3 linked regions of the Arabidopsis thaliana genome follow. The protein of the gene in region 2 purifies or fractionates together with the protein of the main gene of each other region. This does not show direct contact. Each region holds a gene or a part of one and is shown on either strand. Other genes may lie near its edges. The genes, in order: VHA-A, BI1 and HA1.

Evidence for each region.
Region 1: the proteins of BI1 (region 2) and VHA-A purify together in Arabidopsis thaliana (affinity purification with western blotting, with the first as the bait; one study listed by BioGRID). This does not show direct contact.
Region 3: the proteins of BI1 (region 2) and HA1 purify together in Arabidopsis thaliana (affinity purification with western blotting, with the first as the bait; one study listed by BioGRID). This does not show direct contact.

Annotation. Positions count from the first base shown.
Region 1 is NC_003070.9:29,658,284-29,665,640, reverse strand, and holds VHA-A (vacuolar ATP synthase subunit A), read right to left. Parts: upstream 5,554-7,357; 5' UTR 5,394-5,553; exon of another isoform or gene 5,243-5,393; 5' UTR 5,179-5,242; coding exon 5,101-5,178; intron 4,849-5,100; coding exon 4,722-4,848; intron 4,612-4,721; coding exon 4,556-4,611; intron 4,476-4,555; coding exon 4,419-4,475; intron 4,313-4,418; coding exon 4,201-4,312; intron 4,114-4,200; coding exon 4,076-4,113; intron 3,947-4,075; coding exon 3,845-3,946; intron 3,658-3,844; coding exon 3,601-3,657; intron 3,509-3,600; coding exon 3,437-3,508; intron 3,353-3,436; coding exon 3,251-3,352; intron 3,166-3,250; coding exon 3,103-3,165; intron 3,025-3,102; coding exon 2,892-3,024; intron 2,803-2,891; coding exon 2,696-2,802; intron 2,593-2,695; coding exon 2,398-2,592; intron 2,211-2,397; coding exon 2,124-2,210; intron 2,041-2,123; coding exon 1,936-2,040; intron 1,735-1,935; coding exon 1,637-1,734; intron 1,539-1,636; coding exon 1,460-1,538; intron 1,364-1,459; and 5 more. Other genes in the region: AT1G78910 (Pseudouridine synthase family protein), read right to left, coding at 52-372; AT1G78895 (Reticulon family protein), read left to right, coding at 5,775-5,941, 6,406-6,547, 6,766-6,835, 7,213-7,328. UniProt on the Arabidopsis thaliana protein: Catalytic subunit of the peripheral V1 complex of vacuolar ATPase. V-ATPase vacuolar ATPase is responsible for acidifying a variety of intracellular compartments in eukaryotic cells.
Region 2 is NC_003076.8:19,134,239-19,138,618, reverse strand, and holds BI1 (BAX inhibitor 1), read right to left. Parts: upstream 2,668-4,380; 5' UTR 2,549-2,667; coding exon 2,435-2,548; intron 2,038-2,434; coding exon 1,894-2,037; intron 1,796-1,893; coding exon 1,704-1,795; intron 1,604-1,703; coding exon 1,417-1,603; intron 1,325-1,416; coding exon 1,169-1,324; intron 1,085-1,168; coding exon 1,034-1,084; 3' UTR 594-1,033; downstream 1-593. Other genes in the region: LIL3:2 (Chlorophyll A-B binding family protein), read left to right, coding at 3,381-3,765, 3,924-4,061, 4,148-4,380. UniProt on the Arabidopsis thaliana protein: Suppressor of apoptosis. Modulator of endoplasmic reticulum stress-mediated programmed cell death. Involved in methyl jasmonate-induced leaf senescence through regulating cytoplasmic calcium level.
Region 3 is NC_003071.7:8,219,533-8,227,549, forward strand, and holds the start of HA1 (H[+]-ATPase 1), read left to right. Parts: upstream 1-1,981; 5' UTR 1,982-2,325; coding exon 2,326-2,367; intron 2,368-2,620; exon of another isoform or gene 2,621-3,645; coding exon 3,646-3,765; intron 3,766-3,858; coding exon 3,859-4,095; intron 4,096-4,179; coding exon 4,180-4,941; intron 4,942-5,036; coding exon 5,037-5,159; intron 5,160-5,237; coding exon 5,238-5,342; intron 5,343-5,433; coding exon 5,434-5,578; intron 5,579-5,667; coding exon 5,668-5,832; intron 5,833-5,924; coding exon 5,925-6,163; intron 6,164-6,257; coding exon 6,258-6,290; intron 6,291-6,380; coding exon 6,381-6,462; intron 6,463-6,549; coding exon 6,550-6,710; intron 6,711-6,839; coding exon 6,840-7,013; intron 7,014-7,097; coding exon 7,098-7,280; intron 7,281-7,366; coding exon 7,367-7,548; intron 7,549-7,639; coding exon 7,640-7,736; 3' UTR 7,737-8,017. UniProt on the Arabidopsis thaliana protein: The plasma membrane H(+) ATPase of plants and fungi generates a proton gradient that drives the active transport of nutrients by H(+)-symport. The resulting external acidification and/or internal alkinization may mediate growth responses.

The sequences.
Region 1 (7,357 bases), on a different chromosome or scaffold from region 2:
AATCAAATATTTGATCAGAAGTAATGAAATTGTTATACCAGAGACACTCACAAGGCCCTTTGTGAAATGAGTTTGAATAGCCTTATCATAGATTTCTTCAAAATAGTACTTGACCCAGCTTATAGCTGTGACGTGGCCGCCGCTATCTCCATCGTCGCCGTCAGCTCCGGCGTTTTTGCCAGGTAATGGATGACCGGGAAATGGCGGCAGGGATATCAGCTGACGTGGCAGTGGTCCTTGCTTCGGTGGTCCCAGGTGTGCTACGTTGTTTGTCACGCGGATCACCGAAGACGGCGGCGGAGCGACTCTCGAGTACCGCCGTATTAGTACGGTCAAGTAAATCTGACGGAAGCATGTCTTGGCCTTCCACATGGGGGTTTATCAGAAGACCGGAGGACTCTGTGTCTAGGGTCAGAATGCTGAATGCCGGCGGTTCTTCTTCGCGCGCTACGGCCGAGGAAGACGAAGAGAGAAAGAACGCGACGGGGAAAGCCAATTTGGGCCTGTTGGGCTTTCAATTCTTACTAATTGACTCGTCGATCCAACTCGGTCGTGCTAAATAAATTCATGGGTCATATCACAGACTTGCTCATGAAATTAGTACAACTAAATTATTTTGTGATTTTAAATTTTCCTCTTCAATTACCGATTTATTATGTTTACACCACCAAACCATAAAATGAAAAAAAAATTACAAAATGATGGTATTTATTATGAGAAAAATAACGGTATCCCCAATATGTTTTTGGACATAAAATTAACTTATTGAATTGAGAGGGTACATCAAATCAAATATATGACTCACATTGGCTGTACCTTATTACCACCGAAATAAAAACATGAAAACAACGAATCAAACATATTACACAGCACAGCACAGCCGGAGAATCATGACGCTCACAGAGCTAAAACTCAATCGATCGACCAAACCGATAAATAAAATACCGACCACTATGATAGTTGTTGGTTCAAAAACACAAGAAAGAGACCATGAATGAAACCCTCTTTCTCCAAAAACAACCCAATTCTGTGGATTTTTTTTACTTGCGGTGGAGACTCGACAGCTTACCGAGTTTCATCTTCCAAAGCACGGAATCCAGCATTGAGATCGTCGTACAATTTCTTGAATTTTTCCACCAGTGTATCCTCCCCTTCTGCTGGGTCTTCGAACTTCTGAGACCTGTAGTTCCCATAATTCCGTTTCAGACCATTTTATTAGAGCGCTATGTAACAGAGTCATAGAGAAATCGAGGAGAAGCAAGTCGTTTGCTTACACTAAACGGTAGAAAAGATCTCCTAAGCGATGCTTGATAAGAGTGTAGGTAATCTTTTGACCGTCCATTCCAGCTGCTCTCTCAACCGCCTGTGTATCCAAAACAATTAATGGGTTTTTACCTAGACAAACCAATTGACCTTAATCCCCACTTAGCATAGTATGTATAAATCTCATCTTATTTACCTGGTTGGCTAGGTTGTAGAAATGGATAATGTTACGCATCATCCACACGGACTTGTAGAAAGGACAGAATTTGTCATATCTGTCAAAAAATTCATCCAAAAGGTTCAAGAGTGAATAACCCGTTGAGAGAGAAAGAGAGAGTACTAAACCAAAACGAAGGGAGCCAACAAATCTTACGGTGTAAACGCGTTTTGAGCAAGGTAATCTTCCCTCAATAGCTTAGCTGTTTCCAATGTGATTTTGTCCCCTTCTGCTAGCGCATCTTTTCCTACAAGCTGCACACAAAAAGCAATGTGTGGGTCAAATAAGTTCCTTTCGAAAAGAATAACGTGCTAGCACTGTTTTCCTTCTATAACTCAAGTCAAGTTTACATGCCAAGATTATCGTTCAACCCCTTCAAAATGTATTAGGGTTGCTGAGACAAGAGTTCATTGGTCACCACAATAGATACTTATACAAGGATAAGTGATACATACCTGGACAATTTCATTAAGATCGTCTTCCCTCTGCAACACCTCTCTGGCCTTTGTCCTGATGTTGATGAAATCTGGATCGAACTTCTCATAGAAAGATTCCAGTGCCTAAAACAAAAAGCAGCGTTTTATATACAAGATTTCTAGATAGTAAACCAAGACAAGTTTGAACCGAGAATATTTAAGCATACCGTTGAATACTTTGAGTAAGAAATCAACCAATTAACAGAGGGAAAATGTTTTCTCTGGGCAAGCTTTTTGTCCAAACCCCAGAAGACCTGCAGAAGAAAAGAGAAACAACCAGAATGGAAGAGTAAGCATTTCAAAGTGGAGAAAAAAAATGCTTAAATATACGAGTCTGCGGCAGATCTAAAACTAAACACCATCTGGTTCATCTCAACCAACATATACGACTATGTAATCTACAATGGAAGATAGGGAAGCAGACATGAACCAAATAATCACCTGCACAATACTAAGGGTTGCTGAAGTCACAGGATCTGAAAAGTCTCCTCCAGGAGGCGAAACTGCACCAACAATTGTAACACTTCCGTTACGTTCTGGTCCACCAAGACATTTTACTTTACCAGCACGTTCATAGAAAGATGCTAAACGTGCTGCTAGATAGGCTGGATATCCACTGTCAGCAGGCATTTCAGCCTATAAAACAAAGCAAAATAGGTGTCAATAAACTGAGAAAAAGAAAAGTGAGATGAGGACAACACGAACATCCATATAGCAAAAGTGAAACGCATAAGATTACCAGCCGTCCTGAAATTTCTCTTAATGCTTCTGCCCAACGGGAAGTTGAGTCTGCCATCATACTAACATTGTAGCCCATATCTCTAAAATATTCAGCGATTGTGATTCCTGGAATTCACATTAAAAAAAAAAAAAAAAAATGAGCATAGGCAATGGGATTCATCAATAACTATTAAATCTGTGTGCCTGAACATTACCTGTGTAAATTGAGGCTTCACGAGCAGCCACAGGCATGTTAGAGGTGTTAGCAACAAGTGTGGTACGTTTCATGACAGATTCCTCACGGCCATCAGGCAACGTCATTGTCAATTGTGGGAAGTCCATAAGAACCTAATTTATGAGAAACAATCAGATCAAATGTCCGATTTGTATGAACAATATGCAAATTTAGAATGAGAAGAGATATACCTCAGCCATTTCATTTCCTCTCTCTCCACAACCAACATACACAACAGCATCAGAGTTGGAGTACTATGTAAATAAGAAAAAGTTAGCTTTGGAAATTCAATCTATCCAGTAATTAAATGGAACAAAACCAGAGAGTGTCACAAGGTACCTTGGAAAGTGCCTGACTGATAACAGTTTTCCCACAGCCAAAAGCACCAGGAATGGCACAGGTTCCACCAAGAACAGAAGGGAAAAGGGCATCAAGAACACGCTGACAACAGGAAAAGAAAGCAATCAGCAACACATGTATTCAAATGACTATCACCACTGTAAGAAGAATTAATCGAGTAATCACCTGCCCCGTAAGTAGAGGAGTATCGGCAGCAAGCTTTGATGCAACTGGCCTAGGCGTACGTACAGGCCAGCTCTGACATATATCAACCAAACCAATTTAACAGAGTGAACCAAATAGCTTAAAATTTACGTTTGCAAGTAGGAAGATTAAAGATACATGCAAACCTGAAGCATGGTGTAAGATTTCTTGATCCCCTGGAATTCAAGCTCTATCACGGTATCCTGAGAAATGAAAATCACCGACAAACAATTATTAGCAACAAGCCAAACATGATCTACAACAGGAAGTGATTACCAATTGATCAAGTTAGCCATATATTAACTCAAACGTTGAATTCAAAGAAATCAAGGAAGAAAAAGTTTGAAACGTATTTATTCATAACTGTTTGAGGGAAACTTAAAGTCAAACCTTAAGCGAATATTGACCAGCTGGAGCAATGTAAGTGATCTTCCCCATGGCATCCGGAGGAAGGGCAACGAGGTGATTCATCAAAGTGTTCTCAAAGACAGTCTGCATTCCAAAGTTTAATTTGACTTTCAGAAAAAACTATTCCCAGTGTAAACAAGGGAAACACCACGGTAACTGTGTAAATAGATTCCCTTGTCAAAAGCAGATTAAAGAGGAGACCAATAAACTTACAGCATACAAGTCACCACCAGTTATTGTGTCTCCCTCGACTGCAAACAAAACGAATTCAATTGACCATCAAGATTAAAACCAAATGAACACTTCCATAGACAGGCATATGGAGTAAACCACATTACCAAATTTATTGGGCTGGAACTCCCAAAGACAATCTTTGTCAAGAGCTGGAACAGACACACCCCGAGGAATGTACACATCACCGGATATTCTTGCAATAGTCTTCAAAGGCCTCTGTGACATTTAAAGAAATGAAACCAAAGAATCGTAAGAAGCCACATAAAACGAATCATAAAAGTAAAAAAAATCATGTCTAGCAAGATTATAAATCCAACTGAACCTGAATTCCATCAAAGATATTTCCCAATATTCCTGGCCCGAGCTCCACAGAAAGTGGCTGTAGTAAATTCAGGACAAATTATATGTTAGCTGCAGATGAACAACACTAGAAAAAACCAAGATAAATAACTCGCGAACCTTGTGTGTTCGAAGAACGGGATCATTAACTGTCAATCCAGCTGTTTCCTCGTAAACTGATCAAAAGGAAGTTGCCAAATATCAGTTAAGATATCTTACTTCGACAGAGGTCACATAAGATGCCGTAAAGTAAATTACACTAGGAAGCACAATAGAAGAAACAAACCTTGGATGGTGGCAGAATCTCCTTCAAGACGGATGATTTCACCAATCAAATTATCATGACCAACACGCACTAACTCATACATAGCAGCACCGGCCATACCATCGGCAACAACAACAGGACCTGAAACCTGCATCCCATAAAAGAAAATGTCAAATCACTGAGAACTATCAGATCAGATCAGAAATTCAAAGACGAGGTTACTGAACCAACGCGGAATCAACCGATTCAATCACTGATAACTATCAGATCAAATCTAGCTATCCCACCAATCTTACCTGGTAAGCAGATCAACTATTTCATCTATCCATCACCAAAAACTAACATCGCAAAACAGAAAAAAAAACAAATTGAAACCAGATCGAACGAAACAGGATAATACCTTACGAACGTAACCATACTCGCTCTCCTTCTCATCGTCCTCGAAGGTCGTAAGCTTTCCTCCGTAAAACGCCGGCATTTTCTCAGCAATCAGAGATTCAAAAACTCAAATCCGATCGGCCAAAAAAATCAAAATTCACCTCCTAGAAAATGCCGAGATCCGATCAAACAACAACAACAACAAATCAGAAATCGCCAAAATCAGACAACTCTTAAGGTTTTTCAAAGAGAGCGATACAATAAATCAGAAAGAAACAAAAAGGATCAGAGAGAGAGGGATAGAGATCTCCTAACCAGTGAACAGACAGGAAGAGTGGTCACAAGAAGAAGAAGAGAGAGGTGGATGCACGTAGATAGATATTGAAAGAGTTGGAGAAGTTTTGATCTGATTGACGAAATCGTGGAGTGATCCGGTACATGACTACACACGATACGCGCGTAGATCTGGACTTTGTCGTTAATAGCCACGTGACAGTTTATTTATTGGGCTTTATAATATATACTTACGGCCCAATAAGTGGGTCCGTTTAGTCAACAAAGACATGCGGCTTGAGAATCTCTCTCTCTCTCTGATCAAGCCGGAAAATTCACAAAAGTGATCAGTTTTGTTTTCTCGGGGAAATTTTCTGAAAGTGAAGAAAGGGAAAGCAAGTTTTTTTTGAAGTGGGGAGAGAGATGGGAGAAATGGGGAAGGCGATGGGATTGCTGATTAGCGGGACGCTTGTGTATTACCATTGTGCATATCGTAACGCGACTCTTCTCTCTCTCTTCTCCGATGTTTTCATTGTTCTCTTATGCTCTCTCGCCATTCTCGGTCTCCTTTTTCGCCAACTCAATGTCTCGTAAGTTCCCTCACATTTTTCGCCTAAATCTCTCTGGTTACGGTATTGGATTTTGTTCTTTGGTCTCTGATTTAGTCATTTGCTGTTTGGTGACCGAGTAGATACGAAATTTGTTGGCTCCTTTGATTTGTGACAAGTTTGAATACTTGCTCGATATAATTGTTTAATTGGGTTGTACTTTGTAATGTGGTTGTGCAATCAGTTATGTTAACTTGATTATGAAATTGATTTCATGTATTCTCTGAAGGCATGAACTGAAACTAGTTCTCATTGTATTTCTGGGTGAATCAATGATGCATCGATCTTATTTGATTACTATCATCTTCCGTTCTCTGTGATCAATGCATAGTCATAATCCTAGAATGTTCAATGATATCATTATCTTCTGCTCATTGTGTGTATAACTCTTCAAGACCCTTGCTTTATCATACCACATGATTTACAATCCTATAACTTTTCTAAAGGGTACCAGTGGATCCACTAGAGTGGCAAATATCACAGGACACAGCAAGTAACATCGTTGCACGCTTAGCTAATACCGTTGGAGCAGCAGAGGGTGTTCTGAGGGTTGCAGCAACTGGACATGACAAGAGACTTTTTGTCAAGGTAAGTGTGTCCTTTGTTACCAACTTACTATGTACAAGATACCGTTACTATTCTTGGATCATGAGTGTATCAAAATGCATTAGCATCAATATATCACCACAGAGATTCTCTTAGAACCCTAGTGTCTTTACCCAGTTACCATATAAATGCATTGCTAATTGTTAACTCAGTAATTGTGCTCTATACTGAATATGTTTGTTTTTTGCTTTTTCCTTTAGGTCGTAATTTGCCTTTACTTCTTATCAGCGCTTGGGCGACTCATATCAGGTGTAACCGTTGCTTATGCAGGTAAAGCATTCACATTTCATCTCAAATTTATACAGAGTTTCATTTTAATGTGGAAGAGTGTAGTATTTCATTGAATTTTAAAGCATTCACATTTTGTCTCAAACTTATACAAAGTTCATTCTAATGTGGAAGAGTGTGCTCTTACCTTATAAGTAGCATTTCATGGAATTATAAAGCATTCACATTTTGTCTCAAACTTATACAAAGTTTCATTTTAATGTGGAAGAGTGAGCTGTTACCTTATGAGTAGCATTACATACCAATATGTCGGATTTCTTAGCATTTAACAAAAGTTGGCCATTTGGGAAACCCTTCGTCTTGCCTGTGTCAAATATTGCAAACCAATGATCTCTGACTAGTTCTTCTCCCTGAAACAGGACTATGCTTGTTCTGTCTCTCCATGCTCTGTCAGACTTCTCAATCTCTTGGAAACTGTGTACTAAAGCGAGGAAATGGCCAGATTTTAGAACAAGAAGCACATTCTGATACATAATATGTCTAGCTTTTGTTTATACTTTTCGT
Region 2 (4,380 bases):
CTTGACCAGAGTAGTTCCTTGCTGTTTCCTAGAAAAAAAAAGGAACTAATGCAAGAATTTACGGTTCCAATTTCCCTAGTTCTTTTAAAAAATCAAACAAAGAAAAAACAGAGATGTAATTGTTTTATTCAAATATTTTGTTCTCGTTTTTGGCTTCATTTCCTTCTGTTACATCTATTAAGTATTAACAGAACTTCTAGGGGTTGGTTCATGTTTTGCATTTCTGGCCAGTGATTTTTAATTTTCTTTTCTTTTAGATCCTTTTGCAAGTTGCAATCATGTTATCATGGATTGCAAAAGGAGTGTATCAAAAACCCAATTGAAAATGCTACACACGTTAATGTGCTAATCCTAGATTGCCTTGGACCAGAAGTCAGAACATATGCAAGTATATAACTAGTATTGTCTCCATCGTCGGTTTGTCGGATGGATTCAAACTTAAGATCGGGTCATGAGCTCCGAGGTCTAGACTCTATGCAAAACATAACGTCGTTTTTAAAGTGAGAAGGAAAATCTGATGTATATTCCTTGCCATTTGCCGTACCACAACATTCTATTGGGAACAAATTTTGACAAAAAGCTCCAACCAGACGTTTGACAAAAGGCTAAACGCCATTTATTTGCAATTTTCAAATCCACGTTTCACGAGAATGCAGGTTTTTACACACTTATCATGGAAATTGCAAGTTATTTTTCGATTACAACTTCCAAGCAATAGCAAATGTTGCAACTGTGAGAATCTGAAATGCACACATTTTAGAAAATTTAAACAGGATTATCATTTTCCTACATTATTCTTAGCTTGGTAAGATGCAATCAGTAGAACCAAACTCTTAAAGAACAAAAGTTTATGAAAAGAAGAACAACACTCGAGTCATTTACAATCTGAAGATGGTACTTGTGCAGAAGTGAAACAAGCAGATCCTTTTTAGTGGAAACATGTCTGGTCACCAATAGAGAGTGCTAACAAGTAATATCTTCAAAGTGGCCACACACGATAACAACCATAAAGTTAAATTTACTTTACATCCCCTCAGTTTCTCCTTTTCTTCTTCTTCTCTTCTTTATCTGCTGAGTTCTTCAACTGCATAACAAAAGAGTCCGTCAATGACGGTTTACTAACAAATAAAGTGTACCATTTTCTTATACCAGCGACAAATGAACTTACCATTATGATGAGAATCCGAACAAACACAGCTACAAAGTCAGTGAAAAGGGTCAACGAATGTTTTACATAGTCCATGTCACCGAGGTGTGCCTTTTCTATAATCTCTTGTGTGTCCACCACCATGTATCCCACAAAGATCAAAAGTCCAAAGTACAACTGCAACCAGAGACGTATTCATAACAATGGTGAGATGTCTGAGAAAGTAAGACAAAGAACAGATCATTCTAAAACAGAGGCATTCGGTTTACCTCAAACTTAAAGATAGATGCAGAGCCACCAAAGATTGAAGAGGCAAACTGGAGCCACATTAGCATAGACAAGCCAGATGAAAGCAGTCCTCCAAGGTAGAGATACTCCCTGCGTCTTGCTAACATTGCTGCTGCTGAGAAACAGACAAACGCTATCGCAGTTCCAACAAATGCAGTGATAAGGATGCTGGAGAACCAAAAGAAAGATATAAAGGTCAGCTCCTAGAATAGTCTAACAGAAAATTAACATTGAACAACAAGAATCAAATTGCATAACCATAACACACCTTGGGTCAACATCAATTGCCACTTTGATCAAGGGGCCAACAGAAGCACCTTCAAGAACAGCAGACACAAACAGAAGAGAAAGCCTTTTTTGCTGCATCAAAACAAACAACAATGTCAGGAAAACGAAACTTTAGTACAATAAGAAAGCAGCCAATTCACTATTGGGTTGGGTAAATCGAGCCCACGTACGTGTTCATAAGGAGGACATGAAAGGAGCCAAATCATAGTTCCAATACATCCAATCGTTGTAAGAATACCGCCGATATTCCAGAGCACATGGAGGTAAGCTCCAAAGGCAGACGCCACAAGAGCACAACATAAGGTCAAATAAACCTACAAAGATTCCACCACAAATAATAAGAACCAATGAGCATTTGTAACATGAGTGAGTATACAAATCACATTCCCTTCTGCAAATGGAACATGACAAATGAACAAGAGGATCTTAACAATAATAAGCAGAGTAAAGTATAACGAAAGATCTCCACAGAATCATAATCAAGTAAGTATCAACAAACTAAATCATGGAAAGACCCAATTAGAAACCCTAGATAAAGTACGATCGCAACGATTCGTTCAACGGAAACCAAATCATAGAAATTAGATGAAATATAGAAACATAGAGCGATCAATAGCACGAAAACGAAACGAATCTCAATCTATCGACTCTAATCTAGACATCGCGGTTTGGTGTGTGATATGAATAGACATCGGCGGCGAAGAAACTTACCCGTTTAAGATGATTCTGAACGGCTGGAGAAATCTGACGGAAGTTTTTAAGAGAATCATAGCTCCAGCTTCTGCTACCAGGTTGAGAATCGAAGAAGGAAGAGAACGCATCCATTGTTTCGTTTTTTTTGCTTGACTTTGAGAATCGATTAATGAAAATATTAGTTAGAAAATAAAGACTTTCGTTATTTATAATGGGCCTTATGATTGGGGACTAAATTGACAATAATACCCTTACTGCTTATGTGTAGTTATTACGCATTCGCTACACGTGTAGGGGCATTAAACACGGAGAAGGGTAGTTCTGGAAACTTCTTGAACGTTGAGATCGTCGTCGTCGTAATGAGTTGAAACTTTGCCGCGAAGCAAATGAAATATCTAAATCGTCATCTAACCAATAAGAATCATCCACGTGGATTTTTCACTTAGTTTACATATTATTGTTTAAGCTTAGGAATAAATTTGTTTTAGTTTTGTGATAAAGTATTTTGGATAACAGTATTTATTAATTTACAAAGACTTTTCTATAATCTTTCTCTATTATTTTCAGTTGCATCAAAAGTTTAACAAACTAATAAAGAAAAGACCAAGGACATTTTCATATCGTCTAGTCAATTCGTAAATCATGGGTCGAGAGTATGGTTAAATGTCAGGTTTTGAATTCTAGTTCTATATGGGCTGATCGCAAAGCCCATTAACAGTCTCGTTTATCTTTCTATTTTTGCTTACAGAAAACATCACGTAGTTTCTTCCTTAAACTGAATTAAAAAAGGAAAACGACATACAATCCAAGTTTCTAACGATAACAACATCTCTTTCACTTCCTTCATAGCTCATTTCAAACCACACATTCAAACTAACTCTGCAAAAAAAAAAAAAACTCAGAGCAGAGGAGATCGAGAGAGACAAAGAGAGAGAGAGAGAGAGAGAGAGATCTTAACAAAAAAATGTCTATATCCATGGCGTTATTCTCTCCGCCGATCTCTTCCTCACTTCAGAACCCTAATCTCATCCCCAAGATCTCAACCTCTCTTCTCTCCACCAAGCGTTTCTCTCTAATCTCCGTCCCTAGAGCTTCCTCCGACAATGGTACGACTTCCCCCGTCGTGGAGATTCCGAAGCCTGCTTCTGTGGCTGTAGAGGAAGTTCCAGTTAAATCTCCAGCCGAAAGCTCCTCCGCTTCTGAAAACGGCGCCGTTGGAGGTGAAGCGACTGATTCGAGTACTGAGACGGTAATCAAATATCAGAATGCGAAGTGGGTTAATGGAACTTGGGATCTGAAACAGTTCGAGAAAGATGGCAAAACTGATTGGGATTCTGTTATCGTTTCTGGTTAGATCCTTTTAAAACTTCAGTTCAGTACAGATTCTTTGAATACTTGATATATGTCTATGCTTTGTTATTAGGAAGATTCTGCTTTGGTTTCTTATAGTGGTGTGTAAGAAGAGGAGTGTTTGTTGTGTAAATGTGTTGATTATGTATTTTTATAGAGGCAAAGAGGAGAAAATGGCTTGAAGATAACCCGGAAACAACGAGTAACGACGAGCTTGTTGTCTTCGATACTTCGATTATTCCATGGTGGGCATGGATGAAGAGATACCATCTACCTGAAGCTGAACTTCTCAATGGTGATTTTCAAAACACTTATGATCTAACACTTAGATATAGTACACTTAACATTTTGTGCATCTAAGTTGTTGTCTTGGTGGTGTAGGTCGTGCTGCGATGATAGGGTTCTTCATGGCTTACTTTGTTGATAGTCTTACCGGAGTAGGACTTGTTGATCAAATGGGAAATTTCTTCTGCAAAACACTCTTGTTTGTGGCTGTAGCTGGAGTTCTCTTCATCCGTAAGAATGAAGATTTAGACAAACTTAAGGATCTGTTCGATGAGACTACGTTATATGACAAACAATGGCAAGCTGCATGGAAAGAGCCAGATTCATCA
Region 3 (8,017 bases), on a different chromosome or scaffold from region 2:
GCTAATTAACTCAGCTAAAAATGTTTCAAAAAATAGATCTGATTATTTGGATGTTGGTTTTATATTTCCTTGTTATAAAAACAAAGAATATGACGAATAAATTTAACTTTTTGAAATCCTAAAAAAAAAAGCATACACATTTAAATAAATACTTTTATGTATTTACCTATGAAAGTTAAATTGATTTTGTCTATCAGATACATAAATGATCAAATAATAAATGAGAAAAACCTGCCCATATGTGCCGATATATATCCAGTTGAATTAAACCATCATCTTCTTGTTTCTTTGTTTTTAAAATTCTCTTATGAAATCGATCTTTTAGATAAAATACAATCGAATTTATGGAAGCAAGAAAAAAAAATTACGTAGGGGAGGTGTATTATTGGGGGACCCAGCACGATCAAAAAGTCAATATTCATCAGCCAATTTGCTGAATAAATAAATAAATAACCTTGAAAACAATTTTTGGTTAAATTACAAAAATAATGATATCCACAAACATGTGAATTGTTCCAGCAATTGCTGACCTTGCCATGAGGCACCTTGGAAGAGCCATTGCTTCATTACAATCCTTTAAAGCCATAAATATGAGATTAGGATTACCAAAATTTCACATATAACAAATTGTTTTATATCATTACTAGCTTAATATGTGTTTTATTATAGTTTTAGATCGACGTCATCTGAATATTTTCCCCCAAACTCCTAAATTTTATAATCTGTGTCTAAACCTAATTTTATATTTCAAAACATCCCTTTTTCTGGAAGAAACTTGTCTTTTAATTTTTTTTTTTTTTTTCACACTTGTCTTTTAATTTCCTTAAGAGACCAAATCAAGTTAATTTAGTGTACTCACCACCTTTAAAACAGGTCAAGTTAATTTATTTGAACATCAGTAATAAATTTATGAACATCTCTTTTCAACATCGGTATTCTTAAATAGTGTTTTAGAATCGTCATTTTAACTTTATGTTTCACTAAACTTAGAAAATATTTAGTTTTTTTTATCTCAATTAGTAATTATCATTTAAATTTTTATTTTCTCGGTTTCTACTTCGCCACTATTATTTAACATATTATTAAACAAATTAGTATTATACGGGTTGATTTTAATTTTCCAATTACAAATTAATTAAAATTCAACTTTTTGATTGGTTGTATAATCCGAAGGAAAAATGTTTACATACGAATTGTTTTAAAAACACTTTGATTTAAAAGTCCGACCTAAACAATCAACATGAAAATTAAACTTATGAGCAAATTAGGTTGATCTAGAAAATAACTTTTGCATTTGTCTCATAGGGAATTATAAAGTTAGTATCTACACACATATATCAAATATACATGTTATATCTATATTACTCTCTCTCTCTCTCTCTCTCTCTCTCTATATATATATATATATATATATATGTATATTCACAAATCCATGTATGTATTTTAAATTTTGTTTGTTTTTTTTTTCCTTCAAAATGAGTAACTTATATAGAAGTCATTAAGATTAGCTTTGCACAACTCTTTGGGAACAAAAAAGAACCCAAATTTTAAGCATTATTCAATGTTCATATAATTATTATGTATATTATTTTTCCTTATTGATTATCAATTTTATATACACAAAAAGATATCAGTGAAGAACTTATGATTGTGCATATTTTCTGTCCATACATAACCACAATATTAATCAAAAATTTAAATTTATCTTAGATATTTTTCTTATGATAATTCAATACTGTATAATTTTTTAAAATCTATACATTACAGTTTTGTCTTTTAAATCATATTCTAATATGCATAAATATCTAGAAAAATACTAACTCCATAGAATTAAATTTCTTATGTAAGTTTAGTATATTATCCTAAATTTGTGTTAATGTTAAGATTTCTACTAAATTTGATACTCAAAAGTAAAAAGTTTCTCTTAATAGAAAAAAATAAATATAGATTCTCTTACATTACAGGATCAGAGTATAAAACCAGTTTAAGTAAACAATGTTTCAAAAAACAGTATGATATCTGAAATTTTAATTATAAAACCAAAAATCCAAAGTCAAATATACGTTTTCCAAGTGAGAAAGGACCCATAAACAATTAACAACCATTGATGATCACCAAATCATAATCAACGGTCGAAATGAATGAAAAATAAAAGTCTGAAACGGTGGAGAGTTTCGTCGTTTTGAGTGGTTATAAAAAGAGAAGGCGTATATCTCCTCTGCAACAGAAGCTCGCTTTCTCTCTCTCTCTCTCGTGTGTGTGTGTGTGATCGAGTGGTGAAACGACAGAGAGGGGCGTCGTTTTGTTGATTTCTTCTGGGTGAAGATGTCAGGTCTCGAAGATATCAAGAACGAGACCGTTGATCTGGTATTATTTCGATTCTCTTCTCGCTTAAATTCTTCGAGTTTTTAATTTCATTTTTAGTGTTTATTCATCATGCCCACAAAGTGTTCGATGATTTGCTTGAATGAGAAATAGATCTGTTTCGTTGTTGTTCCTTGCATGGTTTCACGTTTGATTCTTTTACCCTTTTTTCTTCAAATCATTTTCCGATGATTCTACTCCTTTTTTCTTTGATCGAAAACTGAATCTTAATTCCTCAAGAACCCGAAAAATCCGCAAAAAAAAAAAAAACCGATTTTTCCCCCCAATTGTATCTGCCTCATTTTCGATGATTCTATCATGGATCCTATACAAAACCCAAATCAAGATTCCAACTTTATTAATTTTGGTCTAAAATTAGGGTAAAATAACAGATGTCTTTTAAAGGTTTTAGGTATTAAGCCAAAAATAAGTAGATTTTGATACTGTTCATCAGAAAAAGTAGATCTACCCAAAAACTACACACATGTGAAACGCTGAATAAAAAGATAAGTCTTTTTAGTGGTGGAGCTAAGCTTAAGCTACGTCTCAACAAAAGTCTCTTTCACATATTTATTAAAAGAGAAAAAAATCGCAAAAAGTTTGATTTTGCTTGTGATATATAACTTTCTTTCTCTAAAAAAAATCATCTTTTTTTTGTAAAGATAACGTTTTTGATGTTAAAGCAGTTCATAATATTCTTCTATCTTCCACCCATGAAAAATACCAGAGTTTTTAATAAATTTAAGTTTTCAACTTTTTTTTAAATTGTTGTTGATGTTCGAATTTTTTTGATGTACCTTTCCGTAGTACGTTTTTTTTTTTTTTGAACTTCTTTGTCCTTTTGTAAAACATCTATCAGTAGAAGCAACTTGTGAATTCCTCTATTGTAATTGATTTTGTTTAGTGAAATTGTTTTATGACCGAAATACCCTTAACCGGACTTTGGCTTTCACGCCGGAAAGTAGCCACCTTTCATGGAGGGAATCCCGCAGGCGCGTGTGTTACACGTTCCATAACACGTGCATTGAAGTAGTAGTAGTAGTGGTGGTGGTGGTGGTGGTCCCTCTATCCTCCACTGCCAGATTCTTTTCACCTTTCATTGTCACAACTTGAGTCAACGCCACTCTTCATCTTCCGAGTCGCCGAGTTGGATCGTTTCTGACATTTGTAAAAAGATTTCAAAACTAGAAAAGTTTTTGTCTTTTTTACCCTTTTGTTCTTGTTTGATGTTTGAGTTACTATTGTTTGGGTTCTGATCAAAACTTTTGCTTTGATTCTCAGGAAAAAATTCCGATTGAGGAAGTTTTCCAGCAGCTAAAATGTACAAGGGAAGGATTGACAACGCAGGAAGGGGAAGACAGGATTGTGATATTTGGCCCCAACAAGCTCGAAGAGAAGAAGGTTTGAGTTTGACTTAGCATTGTTGTTTTATCATCATTGAAAGCTTTGGTTTTGTTTAACTCACGAGGTTGATCTTTCGTAAAAAAATATCAGGAAAGCAAAATTCTGAAGTTTCTGGGGTTCATGTGGAATCCGCTTTCATGGGTTATGGAAGCTGCAGCTCTCATGGCCATTGCTTTGGCTAATGGTGATAATCGACCTCCGGATTGGCAAGATTTTGTGGGTATTATCTGTCTGCTTGTTATCAACTCCACAATCAGTTTCATTGAAGAAAACAACGCCGGAAATGCTGCAGCTGCTCTCATGGCTGGTCTTGCTCCTAAAACCAAGGTAATATGTTGGTGGATGCTGTGACATTACTGTACAAGATATTTCGAGACTTCTAGAGAGCTTAACCTGTTTCTCTGTTTTCAGGTTCTTAGGGATGGAAAATGGAGTGAACAAGAGGCTGCTATCCTTGTCCCAGGTGATATTGTTAGCATTAAACTTGGAGACATTATCCCAGCCGATGCCCGTCTTCTTGAAGGAGATCCTTTAAAGGTTGATCAGTCTGCTCTAACTGGAGAGTCCCTTCCTGTGACCAAGCACCCTGGTCAAGAAGTTTTCTCTGGTTCAACTTGTAAACAAGGAGAAATCGAAGCGGTTGTTATAGCCACTGGAGTTCACACCTTCTTTGGTAAAGCTGCTCACCTTGTGGACAGCACTAACCAAGTTGGGCACTTCCAGAAAGTTCTTACATCCATTGGAAACTTCTGTATCTGTTCTATTGCTATTGGTATAGCGATTGAAATAGTCGTCATGTACCCTATCCAACACCGAAAGTACAGAGATGGAATTGACAATCTCTTGGTCCTCTTGATCGGTGGTATCCCCATTGCTATGCCCACGGTCTTGTCTGTGACTATGGCTATCGGGTCTCACAGGTTGTCTCAGCAAGGTGCTATCACCAAACGTATGACAGCCATTGAAGAAATGGCGGGAATGGATGTCCTTTGCAGTGACAAAACCGGGACACTAACCCTTAATAAATTGAGTGTGGATAAAAACTTGGTTGAGGTTTTCTGCAAGGGTGTGGAGAAAGATCAAGTTCTACTATTTGCAGCTATGGCTTCTAGGGTGGAGAACCAGGACGCTATTGATGCAGCCATGGTTGGAATGCTTGCTGATCCGAAAGAGGTATAACTCTAATCATTTTGAATTACTTCTTTAGTTTAGTGAAAGGTCGAGAAAACAAGTTCTTAATTTCTTATGTTTCACTTGGATTTTCATAGGCCCGAGCTGGAATCAGAGAGGTTCACTTCCTTCCATTCAACCCTGTGGATAAGAGAACTGCTTTGACTTACATCGACTCTGATGGTAACTGGCACAGAGTCAGCAAAGGTGCTCCCGAGCAGGTGATGAATCTTCAACTTTCTCCTAAAGATGTTGCGTTTTTCCTTTATTCTGTGTACTAATTCGATTCTCCCACACAGATCCTTGACCTTGCCAATGCCAGGCCTGACCTTAGGAAGAAGGTACTCTCTTGTATTGACAAGTACGCTGAGCGCGGTCTTAGGTCGTTGGCAGTAGCTCGTCAGGTACTTTTTTACAAGCAATTTTTACATTGGTCTTATTTGGGTTTTTTTTTTGGCCTGTAAATCAACTGTTTAATTGCATATTCCTTTTTAGGTGGTACCCGAGAAAACAAAAGAAAGCCCAGGTGGACCATGGGAATTTGTTGGCTTGTTGCCTCTTTTTGACCCTCCAAGACACGACAGTGCCGAAACCATTCGTAGGGCGTTGAATCTAGGTGTTAATGTGAAGATGATCACTGGTAACTATTCTTATTCATCATTTTTTTCCCATGAAATCCATGGTTATTTAGATGTTTTCCCCTAACTTGCGCTCTAACTACGTTGCCAGGTGATCAACTTGCTATTGGTAAGGAAACCGGTCGCAGGCTTGGAATGGGAACCAATATGTATCCATCTGCGGCTCTTCTCGGTACCGACAAGGACTCGAACATTGCATCCATCCCTGTTGAGGAGTTGATCGAGAAGGCTGATGGGTTTGCCGGCGTCTTTCCAGGTTATGCCTTGCTTTCAGTTTCAAACCTCATCACATGTTCATTATAAAGTTTTGTTATATTGATCCAAGGTTCTTATGGTTACTGATTGCAGAGCACAAATATGAAATTGTGAAAAAGCTGCAGGAGAGGAAGCACATTGTTGGTATGACCGGTGATGGTGTTAATGATGCACCCGCTTTGAAGAAAGCAGATATCGGTATTGCTGTGGCCGATGCTACAGATGCTGCTCGTGGTGCTTCAGATATCGTCCTCACGGAACCTGGGCTGAGTGTCATCATCAGTGCCGTTCTCACTAGCAGAGCTATCTTCCAGAGAATGAAGAACTACACCGTGCGTATTCTTAATCTCACTCTAATATATTATGCCCACCACTTGTGTTCGTTTGCGCTGGAAACTAATAATTTTAGTTTCCTGCTTGTGACAGATTTATGCAGTCTCAATCACAATCCGTATTGTGGTAAGTAGAAACCCGTTTTACAAATCTATCACTTGTTTAGCATGATTTTACTTTTTGTATACTGATCATATTGCGTTGTAACTCTTGCAGTTTGGTTTCATGCTTATTGCTTTGATATGGGAATTTGACTTCTCAGCGTTCATGGTTCTGATTATTGCCATCCTTAATGATGGTGAGCAAATAACATCCTACTTTTCTAGACAGCGTCCTCACTCGTTATCAGCTATATCTTATGGTATTATGTGTTACTACCTTTTAGGTACTATCATGACAATCTCAAAGGACAGAGTCAAGCCATCTCCCACACCTGATAGCTGGAAGCTCAAAGAAATTTTCGCCACTGGAATTGTGCTGGGAGGCTACCAAGCCATTATGAGTGTTATTTTCTTCTGGGCTGCTCACAAGACCGACTTTTTCTCGGTACATCATCAGTTTATTTTCATTTCTTTTCTCTTTTTTTTGGTACAGGTGCTTCAGGGACTATATAGATATATATGGCCAGGCCTTTTGCTCTGAGTCTTAAAAAATTGTCTCACCTTCGATTTGCAGGACAAGTTCGGTGTGAGGTCAATCAGGGACAATAACGATGAACTAATGGGTGCTGTGTATCTACAAGTTAGTATCATCAGTCAAGCTCTAATCTTTGTCACCAGGTCAAGGAGTTGGTCATTTGTCGAACGTCCTGGGGCGCTTCTGATGATTGCATTCGTCATTGCACAACTGGTAAGGACATCAAGCACACATATTTTCTGAACTTCGATTAGGTTAAAGAAACCCACTGAATTCATTCACTCCTTCCAAATGCAGGTTGCAACTTTGATCGCAGTGTATGCCGACTGGACATTTGCAAAGGTGAAGGGTATCGGTTGGGGATGGGCAGGTGTGATTTGGATTTACAGTATCGTAACATACTTCCCACAGGACATTTTGAAGTTTGCCATTCGGTATATCTTGAGTGGAAAGGCTTGGGCCAGCTTGTTTGACAACAGGGTACATACAAGTCTATCTACCACTATAGAGACCTCTTTTACAAGCTGATGGTAACATACTAATCACATCTTCTTCTATGTTAACAGACCGCTTTCACAACCAAGAAAGATTACGGTATTGGAGAAAGAGAAGCTCAATGGGCACAAGCTCAAAGGACATTGCACGGTCTGCAGCCAAAAGAAGATGTTAATATCTTCCCAGAGAAAGGAAGTTACAGAGAGCTGTCTGAGATCGCAGAGCAAGCCAAGAGAAGGGCCGAGATAGCTAGGTAAGTAGTGTGATTAAAACGAATCTCAACGGAAAGATGCCATTTGATAGAGGTTCTGATTGGTGAATGATTTAATATTATGTTGTGACAGGCTTAGGGAGCTTCACACATTGAAGGGACATGTGGAATCAGTCGCAAAGCTAAAGGGATTGGACATTGATACAGCAGGACATCACTACACTGTGTAGTTGGAGTTGCACAACAACACAAACATTTACCGAAAACCAACCCCATCATGACTCATCTTTTGTTTTGTCTTCACAAATCTCTCTTTAAAAGTCATTACAGTAGAGGGAAGAGAACTCTTGTGTATTGCCATAACTCTTCCAAAACTCTTTTTTCTTTTTGTTATTGTTAGTCATTGTTCTTAAAACTCCTACTCGATATGAGCTTTGCAAATTTGCCTTTGAAGAAACAAGGCCCTTTGCCTTTGAAGAGACAAGGCACTTTGCTTTTTAATGGCCTAATG